Linked DNA regions of Xenopus tropicalis. The protein of the gene in region 3 interacts with the protein of the main gene of each other region in a biochemical or structural test. Links are inferred from orthologs where the notes say so. Each region holds a gene or a part of one and is shown on either strand. Other genes may lie near its edges.

What was found.
Region 1: the proteins of usp21 (region 3) and yod1 form a complex in vitro, tested with the Homo sapiens proteins (2 studies listed by BioGRID, with this or other methods). The link is inferred for Xenopus tropicalis from reciprocal best matches to the Homo sapiens genes USP21 and YOD1.
Region 2: the proteins of usp21 (region 3) and aurka form a complex in vitro, tested with the Homo sapiens proteins (2 studies listed by BioGRID, with this or other methods). The link is inferred for Xenopus tropicalis from reciprocal best matches to the Homo sapiens genes USP21 and AURKA.

Annotation. Positions count from the first base shown.
Region 1 is NC_030678.2:62,950,483-62,954,539, forward strand, and holds the start of yod1 (ubiquitin thioesterase OTU1), read left to right. Parts: upstream 1-1,257; 5' UTR 1,258-1,275; coding exon 1,276-1,558; intron 1,559-1,888; coding exon 1,889-2,595; 3' UTR 2,596-4,057. UniProt on the Homo sapiens protein: Hydrolase that can remove conjugated ubiquitin from proteins and participates in endoplasmic reticulum-associated degradation (ERAD) for misfolded lumenal proteins.
Region 2 is NC_030686.2:6,088,050-6,092,089, reverse strand, and holds the start of aurka (aurora kinase A), read right to left. Parts: upstream 2,801-4,040; 5' UTR 2,746-2,800; intron 1,126-2,745; 5' UTR 1,117-1,125; coding exon 1,075-1,116; intron 640-1,074; coding exon 342-639; intron 1-341. UniProt on the Homo sapiens protein: Mitotic serine/threonine kinase that contributes to the regulation of cell cycle progression.
Region 3 is NC_030684.2:142,754,264-142,757,763, reverse strand, and holds part of usp21 (ubiquitin carboxyl-terminal hydrolase 21), read left to right. Parts: intron 1-168; coding exon 169-228; intron 229-345; coding exon 346-469; intron 470-2,405; coding exon 2,406-2,517; intron 2,518-2,826; coding exon 2,827-2,964; intron 2,965-3,235; coding exon 3,236-3,300; intron 3,301-3,500. UniProt on the Homo sapiens protein: Deubiquitinates histone H2A, a specific tag for epigenetic transcriptional repression, thereby acting as a coactivator.

The DNA.
Region 1 (4,057 bases), on a different chromosome or scaffold from region 3:
TAGATAGTTAGAACTCACTTATAACTGACTGCCTTTTCTCTATATTTGTATTTTATATGTAGGAGTTGTAGCACATTTGCATCTGATCCCGCCATTTCAACTATATAAAAGGAGTATTTTTAGAAAAAAATGGGGTGTGTTAATTGGGGCGTGGCCACAAAAGTGGGCGTGGTCAAAAAAATCTTTTTGTCCCTCTTTTCGGTTTTCAAATGTTGGGAGGTATGCTTAAAGTACGTGCCTATTTTTATATCTCTGGCTTGGAGGTAAATTTGGAAGCACAGAGACTTGAGGCTACCAAATTGTCAATCACAGTCCTTATTTGGCATCCCCAAATAGCTTTTTTTATGTTTGTGTGGCTCACCAACAATTTTTACATCTGAGTTTGTAGATCCCTGGTCTAGCGAGATAAGACATCTGAATTTACTGTCTGACAGGGTTTCCCCAGGCCGGTGTTTTACTGGTCTGGCTGGTAAAATTGATGCCTGACATCAATGTTATTAATAGGAAAGAAAGATAAAACTATAGGAAGGCCAATATTTTTTTCCAAAAAAGATGGCAAACCGACCATCAGACAAAGAGTCAAAGATCTGTAGGATGTTTAAACTGCACTTTTTTAACTGGAGGCTGTGTTAAGAAAGACAACATTCAAAACTGGGGAGCTACTAAACAAAATGCTACATAATAAAAAAAAAAAAAAAAGAAATAAAAAACGAAGACCAATTTGCAAACTGTGTCAGAATATCAATCTTGTCATCACACTAGGGGCCACATTTACTTATCCACGAACGCTCTGCCTTGTTTGTTCGATCGGTCCAATCGTATTTTCCATGACTTTTTCGTATTCTTAGCGTGAAAAACACAGATCGGTTTTGCCGCTGTTTACAATCGTTCGGTACGAAAATTTTATGACTTTCGGATCACCAATACGATATTATCGTGACTAATACGATTTTTTCGTAAGCATTTTCATGATATTTGCGATCTTCGTTTCCAATCCGAATTTTTCCCATTCGGGATACGAAACTCTTGTTTTGATAAACCTGCCCCTAAAAGTTTATTCCAAAGTGAATAACCGCTTTTACAAATGCAATACTATTAGGTGGTAAGACTCAGTAAAATCACTGCCTGAATTCAGCTGTGCCATCTTCTGTATCACAGCTCGCACTTCCTACAGCCATGCAGCAATTAGATCCTCAACTAACCCAGGATGCGCTTTTAGGAGAAAATCCCGCGAGAGTGCGTTGCCACTGGTAAGAGAACTTCAAATCGCCGGAAATGACTCAGTGCCTTTCCTGTATTATCGCCGACAATAGTTACTCTATTTCCAGTGCTTTCATATATCTGTGCATTATGTTGCGGCTTAGATGTAAAACCCGAGAGGGTACCCAGCTCCTACAAGGTCTCACAGACCGCTCCAGTATCCGGGAGTTGCAGGAGCGCATAGCAGGTCTTACAGGTATTTCAGGGCCCCAGCAGCGCGTTATGGTGGGCTTTCCCCCTGCTTCCCTGGACTTGAGCGACGGAGAGGCGACACTAAAAAATCTGCCCATCAAATCTGGTGAGGGCGTTTAATAGTCGGTGTGGTTGTGGTGGAAGAATTTTGTTTTTTCAGATAGGAGGGGAGTAAGCAAACTGTCGCATAGTGGGTAATAGACATTTGTAGGTTATAAGATTCGTCAGGCATATGATTAAGTTTGCGCTAATTTGTACAAGTTCAGTTGTCTGTTTCATGGGCTTTGATAATATTGGTGTGTACTTCAGCATTTTTTTTCTACTAATATGTACTGATTGTGAAAATATAGTATGAAAAATTAAAAAACTTGTGCTCATAATAAACATACCTTATCTTTAAATAGATTGGTTTTTGTTTTCTTTCTGTCCCTTACAGGGGACACACTTATTGTGGAAGAAGATAAAAGTAAGCTGAAATCAGAAATTCCGCCAGTTTCCAAAACTGACCTTGGTAATTGGAATGCACCAGCACAGCCAACAATTGTCCGGAGGGTAGTTCCAGCAGATAATTCATGTCTGTTCACAAGCATTTATTATGTGGTAGAAGGGGGTGTTTATGACCCGGCATGTGCCCCAGAAATGCGCAACCTCATTGCGGAGATTGTGGCCAGTGACCCATCTACTTACTGTGAGGCTGTTCTTGGGAAAAGTAATGAGGAATATTGCACATGGATTAGAAGAGAAGACACATGGGGAGGTGCTATTGAAGTTTCCATTCTATCCAAATTCTACCAGTGTGAGATTTGTGTGGTAGACACTCAGACTGTACGGATAGATAGATTTGGGGAAGATTCTGGTTACACTAAACGAGTTTTACTCATTTATGATGGTATCCACTATGATCCATTACAACGTCTGTTTGCAGATCTTGACATGCCTCCAATGACTGTCTTTTCGACAACAGATGATGAGGCTCTTGTCCAGGCTATGGAGCTTGCAGATGATGCTAGGAAGAAGAGGCAGTTTACAGACGTAAACCAATTTGCATTGCGTTGTATGGTGTGTCAGAAAGGGTTGACTGGGCAATCAGCTGCAAGGGATCATGCTAAGGAGACAGGGCACACAAATTTTGGTGAGGTGTGACATCAGACAGCTTTATGACTGCTTTATGAGTCAATGTCAACTACCTCACACAAACTAAAACCTAGGTCCATGTAAAGCAAAACCTGGTTTTACTGTTTATATTAACAACCCCCCCCAATACAAAAAAGGAACACAAGATTGTAGCTGCAAACAAACAGCATTGCTTTGATGATCTGAAATTTTCATTGGCAGATAGTATGGCAGTAAACTAGTTTATGGTAGAGGTGTTTGATTCTCTAGCTAAGTATTTGTTCCAATAAGAAGAAAATACCCCCTCACTTAGTATCGCTTAGTAATATATGCATGATTCTAAAGTATTTATTCCAATTCAACATAGGTCAAATTATATTTAAAATTTCTGCTTTAGTTTAAGTTTACCTTAAGTTTTTGAGTACTTTTGTGCAATTGGATATGCTAATGATTCAAAGTTTACAAAATGACAAGTACTGTAAATAAATACAACCAACTTGCATTAGAATATCATTTGAACTTCTTAAAAACATAAATATATATTTACACCCTAGCACACACAACGTATATAGCCACTTTCCTCAGAGAAAGTAGTCTGCATGTGGTTACTATAAACTGGAAGGTCACTGTGCTGCTTGCACTATATGCTTAATTGTGATGCCATCACAATCTCAGAGAATGCTGCCTATGTTCATTATGAAGCTAATTTTAAACATGTAAGTTACAGAAGCTGGTATTTATTAAATTTATCTAACGTGCTGTATTTTATTTAAGGTTGTGTTCCCTAATGATGGTAGGTTTCTAGGGATCTGCTGGTGCTGTTACGTTTTACAGAAATTGGTACTGACATTTTTTTGTTTAAGCTGTTTTACTTAGTGAAGCCATAATGGCACATGTGGACTTCAGCTGCCTCTCTCTGCTTGCCACTTCTTTCCATTTGTGCAGTAGAAGTGATAAGTGGACCTCTTCTATGGAACAGGAGAGTTAGCATTTTTAGATCAAAAGTCCACTTGGCAAATGCTGCATGTCCTTTATTTACCATGTTCCCCATAACTTGCTTTGAAAAGTGTAGACAGGAGTAGTGGGTTATTTTGATTGCATTTTCTAGGTTGCTCCTTACTGAATAGTTTGTCTAGATTGGGGCAAAGGAACCACATTATTTGTGTCTTGGAAGGCACATGGCATCTCCCAGAGTTTTACAGCTTTATCTGAACTCTGCAGTATTGTGGTTTTCTGTTGCTTATGCTGCCCAGTGTGTCGCCCTGGTATGAACAAGGCTGACCCTATGTTCCCCCACTGACAAGTAAATATTGCTCATCTTTACCAGTGAGTGTTTTGGAAATACTCCGTGTCATTAGCAGGTAATTAGAAATCATAGGAGCTGATACAATATAAAACAAACTCCTGGGCCCAACCATGCAGTTTTATCTTTCTAGGCAAGTAATTCAATCATTAAGATAATAAATTCTAGGTATTAAAAAATGCACGTTTA
Region 2 (4,040 bases), on a different chromosome or scaffold from region 3:
CAGCCACCGGCCAGAGGCAACGCGGCCCAAAGCACACAGCCACCGGCCAGAGGCAACGCGGCCCAAAGCACACAGCCACCGGCCAGAGGCAACGCGGCCCAAAGCACACAGCCACCGGCCAGAGGCAACGCGGCCCAAAGCACACAGCCACCGGCCAGAGGCAACGCGGCCCAAAGCACACAGCCACCGGCCAGAGGCAACGCGGCCCAAAGCACACAGCCACCGGCCAGAGGCAACGCGGCCCGAAGCACACAGCCACCGGCCAGAGGCAACGCGGCCCGAAGAACACAGCCACCGGCCAGAGGCTATTGCAGTAAGCTCTCAAGTCCCAGGGCACTTACTGGAGGAATGGCTGGTCTGCTGTGGAGTACGATTCTCATTTGGTCCCTGTGGTTTGCCAGCCTGATGCCCATGAGTTACTGGCCTCAGTGGCCCCTGAGTCATTGGCTTCTGAGTGGACATAACAGGTTTCTGAGCGGACATAACAGGTTTCTGAGCCTGAGACACGACTCGCTGTGGCACATTGGAGGGACCCAATATCCTCTGGGCAGAGACGGCAGTCCCAGGAGGTCTAACCTGGGTGCTCGGAGGCTGGGTAACTGGGATACGTTTGGGACCCTCCATTGTGGGGTGGAAAACCTACAGTAAAGAAAAAGAGAAACCTTAGTAAGAATAATCAAATGCCAAACCATGGATGTAAAGATCTCTGGGAAACAACTTCCCTGGGCAGCTAAGGATGCTGGGAATTTCTTAGCACAGACTATGGTCAGTAGTCTGACAGTTCTTTATTACCAGGGAGAATGCATAACATTAAAGAGAGAAACCCAAAAGACTTTTACAGACATTAAACTGAGCATTTTGTGGCGCAGGCAGAGGAACGTCGTGTTACCGGCGCAAGGGCAAGTATTCCCTCCTTCTGCCTTCCAGTGTGATCGAGTTACTGAACTACACATCTCAACAGTTTACATCTCACAGCGATAAAGATAATCACCTACTGAGGCGCAGGGGAACTTAAATACAAAAAGAAATAGTGGCTCCCCAAGTGCTTAGTAACTTGGGCAGATAAAGACTTACCTTGACATTAGAAGGAAGATTCTCTTTAACAGCCCGTTCCATTATATGTGCCTGTCACCAACATATTCAGTTATATAAACCGTCAATAGAAACCGAGCAAACATTGCAAGTTCTTATGCTTAGAGAGATTTGGGGTGAGTGAGTAATCTTATTAGGCCCATGGTACCCCTGGAACTATAGCGGGGTGACTGTTACCCCAATGTTTCTATATATCTGTAACCTTGTTATGGGCTAAGGGGGCCCAGCCTGAAGGCCAGTTAGGGGGGGATTTGGGGTGAGTGCTTATTTGTGCCCTGGGTACCCCTGGAACTATAGCGGGGTGACTGTTACCCCAATGTTTCTATATATCTGTAACCTTGTTATGGGCTAAGGGGGCCCAGCCTGAAGGCCAGTTAGGGGGGGGATTTGGGGTGAGTGCTTATTTGTGCCCTGGGTACCCCTGGAACTATAGCAGGGTGACTGTTACCCCAATGTTTCTATATATCTGTAACCTTGTTATGGGCTAAGGGGGCCCAGCCTGAAGGCCAGTTAGGGGGGATTTGGGGTGAGTGCTTATTTGTGCCCTGGGTACCCTGGAACTATAGCGGGGTGACTGTTACCCCAATGTTTCTATATATCTGTAACCTTGTTATGGGCTAAGGGGGCCCAGCCTGAAGGCCAGTTAGGGGGGATTTGGGGTGAGTGCTTATTTGTGCCCTGGGTACCCCTGGAACTATAGCGGGGTGACTGTTACCCCAATGTTTCTATATATCTGTAACCTTGTTATGGGCTAAGGGGGCCCAGCCTGAAGGCCAGTTAGGGGGGGGGATTTGGGGTGAGTGCTTATTTGTGCCCTGGGTACCCCTGGAACTATAGCAGGGTGACTGTTACCCCAATGTTTCTATATATCTGTAACCTTGTTATGGGCTAAGGGGGCCCAGCCTGAAGGCCAGTTAGGGGGGGATTTGGGGTGAGTGCTTATTTGTGCCCTGGGTACCCCTGGAACTATAGCAGGGTGACTGTTACCCCAATGTTTCTATATATCTGTAACCTTGTTATGGGCTAAGGGGGCCCAGCCTGAAGGCCAGTTAGGGGGGGGATTTGGGGTGAGTGCTTATTTGTGCCCTGGGTACCCCTGGAACTATAGCAGGGTGACTGTTACCCCAATGTTTCTATATATCTGTAACCTTGTTATGGGCTAAGGGGGCCCAGCCTGAAGGCCAGTTAGGGGGGGATTTGGGGTGAGTGCTTATTTGTGCCCTGGGTACCCCTGGAACGATAAGGATCACCCTTTTTCCTGCTGGGGGGGGGGGGGGCAATCATCTCCAGACTGGGAGCCCAAATCCAAAATCCCACACATTACCAACTCCCAAAACTCAGTCATGGATTAACACTAAATACTAAGGCCTGTATGGGCCCCACACAAACACATGGGGGGGGGGGGGGGGGCAATACTAAGGCCTGTATGGGCCCCACACAAACACATATGGGGGGGGGCAGTACTAAGGCCTGTATGGGCCCCACATGAGCCAGTGCCACTGGGAGATGCAGTTTCATTGGCCCATAAAGATAACCAATGGCTGAAGCACAGAGGGTGCAGCTGTTACAGCCCAGAATATATAACTCAGTTCACACAACACTCCCGAACCATATGAAACAAAGCTCCCCATTGGCCCAGTCACACACACACACCTGGCAGCCGAATGTGCGGGCCGGGACTCTAGCAGCTCTCACACAGACCGGATTGCAGCAGCTGAAGCCACGGACAGACACTGGTTAGCGGCAGACGCAAAACCGACAGCTCCGCTTCCCGTCAGGCAGAACACTCGCCTCACTTCCTCCAACCGTCACAGCCCACTCCGATTCAAATCGCCCGCTTTTAAATCCCTTTAACCCGCTCCGAGCGCTGATTGGCTGCAGGCGGTCAGCTGCCTCGCTTTGATTGGTGGAGAGCGGAGATCCGTTAGGTATCCGAGTGACAAGAGCTTGACGCGCAAGGCGCCTGCGCGTTGGTGTGTGACGTGTTAGACGCTGGCCTGTCGCGCCTGTATGACGTATAGTCGGGTCTGGGAGCGCTTTCTGGTTTGAAAGAGTTTTATCTGGGCCTTTACTGAGTATCTGTGCGCACTTACCGGCATAGCCCCGCCCCGCCCAGGAACCGGAAGCCTTTCTGCTCGGTGAGTATCCTGCCCGCTCCCTCTCTGCCAGTCACTATGTGCTGCCCGCTATTATATCCCATACACACAGCAATATGGCTGCCCAATGGCTCCGGTGCATCGGTCCCTTCCCTGCACTGCTGGTTCTGACTCCTGATACAACTCCCCAATACCCATTCATTCCTCATTCTCACTGGGTTTATAGTTATGTGTAACTGTCACTGTGTCTGTCCCTTTCCCTTCCCTGCACTGCTGGTTCTGACTCCTGATACAACTCCCCAATACCCATTCATTCCTCATTCTCACTGGGTTTATAGTTATGTGTAACTGTCACTGTGTCTGTCCCTTTCCCTTCCCTGCACTGCTGGTTCTGACTCCTGATACAACTCCCCAATACCCATTCATCCCTCATTCTCACTGGGTTTATAGTTATGTGTAACTGTCACTGTGTCTGTCCCTTTCCCTTCCCTGCACTGCTGGTTCTGACTCCTGATACAACTCCCCAATATCCATTCATTCCTCATTCTCACTGGGTTTATAGTTATGTGTAACTGTCACTGTGTCTGTCCCTTTCCCTTCCCTGCACTGCTGGTTCTGACTCCTGATACAACTCCCCAATATCCATTCATCCCTCATTCTCACTGGGTTTATAGTTATGTGTAACTGTCACTGTGTCTGTCCCTTTCCCTTCCCTGCACTGCTGGTTCTGACTCCTGATACAACTCCCCAATATCCATTCATTCCTCATTCTCACTGGGTTTATAGTTATGTGTAACTGTCACTGTGTCTGTCCCTTTCCCTTCCCTGCACTGCTGGTTCTGACTCCTGATA
Region 3 (3,500 bases):
GGGGTTATTTAAATCTATCATAGACCTCCCCAGGCAGCAGTGCTGTAATATATATATATATATATATAATGTCAATGGCACCTCCCAATCCCTTGTGGCTTTGTACCCCATGTGTGCTCTCCGATAAGCCAAAGCCCCATATTCTCACCCCTCTCTGTTTCCCTGCAGCCCCCCCGGCTTCCTGCCCTCGGCTCGGGTCACGTCGGCCTGCGGAATTTAGGGAATACGGTAAGATTTCCCCTTTAACAACAGCAGCTGTCCCAGAGTGCACTTGTGCTGAACGTACCCCCCCCCCCCCCCAACACGCCATGTTTGCTAAATCCTCCTGTCTGTGGGACCCCGCAGTGTTTCATGAACGCCGTGCTGCAGTGTCTGAGCAGTACCAAGCCCTTACGGGACTACATTCTGCGCCAGGAATACCGACAGGAACAGCCAGGAAGCTGCAAGGCACAGCAGGAGCTCACCGAAGGTAGGTGGCAACTATAGTCTTGCTGTGTTAGTTACAGGGAACTGCCTCCCAGCAGGGCCGGTGGCACTAATACAGTAAAGGAATAGGGGGGGGAGGCTGAAAGGGAACATAGGGAAGTGCTACTTTACAGAAAGGGGAGTAGATACAGGGAACAGCCTCCCAGCAGGACCGGTGGGACTGATACAGTAAGGGGCATAGATACAGGGAACAGCCTCCCAGCAGGGCCGGTGGGACTGATACAGTAAAGGAATAGGGGGGGAGGCTGAAAGGGAACATAGGGAAGTGCTACTTTACAGAAAGGGGGGTAGGTACGGGGAACAGCCTCCCAGCAGGGCCGGTGGGACTAATACAGTAAAGGAATAGGGGGGTGGGGGCTGAAAGGGAACATAAGGAAGTGCTACTTTACAGAAAGGGGAGTAGATACAGGGAACAGCCTCCCAGCAGGGCCGGTGGGACTGATACAGTAAGTGGCATAGATACAGGGAACAGCCTCCCAGCAGGGCCGGTGGGACTGATACAGTAAGGGGCATAGATACAGGGAACAGCCTCCCAGCAGGGCCGGTGGGACTGATACAGTAAGGGGCATAGATACAGGGAACAGCCTCCCAGCAGGGCCGGTGGGACTGATACAGTAAGGGGCATAGATACAGGGAACAGCCTCCCAGCAGGGCCGGTGGGACTGATACAGTAAAGGAATAGGGGGGGAGGCTGAAAGGGAACATAGGGAAGTGCTACTTTACAGAAAGGGGGGTAGGTACGGGGAACAGCCTCCCAGCAGGGCAGATGGGACTGATACAGTAAGGGGCATAGATACAGGGAACAGCCTCCCAGCAGGGCCGGTGGGACTGATACAGTAAGGGGCATAGATACAGGGAACTGCCTCCCAGCAGGGCCGGTGGGACTGATACAGTAAGGGGCATAGATACAGGGAACTGCCTCCCAGCAGGGCCGGTGGGACTGATACAGTAAGGGGCATAGATACAGGGAACTGCCTCCCAGCAGGGCCGGTGGGACTGATACAGTAAGGGGCATAGATACAGGGAACAGCCTCCCAGCAGGGCCGGTGGGACTGATACAGTAAGGGGCATAGATACAGGGAACAGCCTCCCAGCAGGGCCGGTGGGACTGATACAGTAAGGGGCATAGATACAGGGAACAGCCTCCCAGCAGGGCCGGTGGGACTAATACAGTAAGGGGCATAGATACAGGGAACTGCCTCCCAGCAGGGCCGGTGGGACTGATACAGTAAGGGGCATAGATACAGGGAACAGCCTCCCAGCAGGGCCGGTGGGACTAATACAGTAAGGGGCATAAATACAGGGAACAGCCTCCCAGCAGGGCCGGTGGGACTAATACAGTAAGGGGCATAGATACAGGGAACAGCCTCCCAGCAGGGCCGGTGGGACTGATACAGTAAGGGGCATAAATACAGGGAACAGCCTCCCAGCAGGGCCGGTGGGACTGATACAGTAAGGGGCATAGATACAGGGAACAGCCTCCCAGCAGGGCCGGTGGGACTGATACAGTAAGGGGCATAGATACAGGGAACAGCCTCCCAGCAGGGCCGGTGGGACTAATACAGTAAGGGGCATAGATACAGGGAACTGCCTCCCAGCAGGGCCGGTGGGACTAATACAGTAAGGGGCATAGATACAGGGAACTGCCTCCCAGCAGGGCTGGTGGGACTGATACAGTAAGGGGCATAGATACAGGGAACTGCCTCCCAGCAGGGCCGGTGGGACTGATACAGTAAGGGGCATAGATACAGGGAACTGCCTCCCAGCAGGGCCGGTGGGACTGATACAGTAAAGGAATAGGGGGGAGGCTGAGAGGGAACAGGGGAGACTATATATGTAGAAGACCCCGCTAGTTATGCCCCCATGTAATCTCCTTATCTCTGTGCTTAACGCCGTGTGATATTCGTTGTCGCTTTCAGCCTTCGCTGATGTCATTGCGTCCCTGTGGAGCCCCGACCCCCCTGACGCTGCAAACCCGGCGCGGTTAAAGGCAGTCTTCCAGAAATATGTGCCATCTTTCACCGGCTACAGGTTGGTCACTGCCCCCCCCCAGAGTCAGAAGGAGAGAGTTCTGCTCCCATAATCCTCCTGTCACTTTCTTCTCCTAATCCCAGTTTTAGCAGGGGGCAGCAGTGCGGGGAGGCGGAGCTTAGCCCCCCCCCCCCCCCCTTACTAAGCCGCTGCTATTTGTGGCTGCACTCACACTTCCCAATCCCATTTACTCCGGGTGTCTGTTTAGGAATTGTTCCGCAAAATCAAATGGGGGGGGGGGGAGGGGGGCTGCGGGATTCCCAAATTGCTTTAGCTCCGCCCAGGATCACATGGTGTCTTGTCCTGCAGCCAACAAGATGCTCAGGAATTCCTCAAATTCTTTATGGATCGGATTCACGTGGAAATCAATCGGAAGGGCAGGAAAACTCCCAGCATTCTGTCTGACGCCAAGCGCCCCGCAGCACTGGAACATCAGGATTCTCTCAGGTATTGGAGCCTGGGGCCCACATAGGGTTCTGGAGCACCCACAGAGATAATCATGTGCAACTTGGCACCCATGTTTGCTTTTGTGGCATTCCTGGCCCCTTATCATACCAGGAACCCCATCCCCTTTAGTAACCATAGGGAGGAGAACAACCCACATGCAGGGCAAACTAGGGATGGACACTACTGACCCCTGAGACTGGGCGGGTTGGTGGGTCAATTATGAAATGTTGATCAGACTTGTGTTCTATAATGTGCTTCTCCTTTCCCTCAGCGATGATGAACGAGCCAATCAGATGTGGAAGCGTTACCTGGAGAGAGAAGACAGCAAAATAGTGGGTAAGTATTCAATGTCTGTGTCCTGCTCCTGGGCTGCTCTCTTTCCCATGGTCAGGCAGGAACCTCCCCCTGGGTAAGTGAATCCAATCTCCCCCCAGTACTTACCCATGTACAGAGCTCTGATTCTCTGTACTTCCTGCTCCTGGGCTGCTCTCTTTCCCATGGTCAGACAGGAACCTCCCCCTGGGTAAGTGAATATA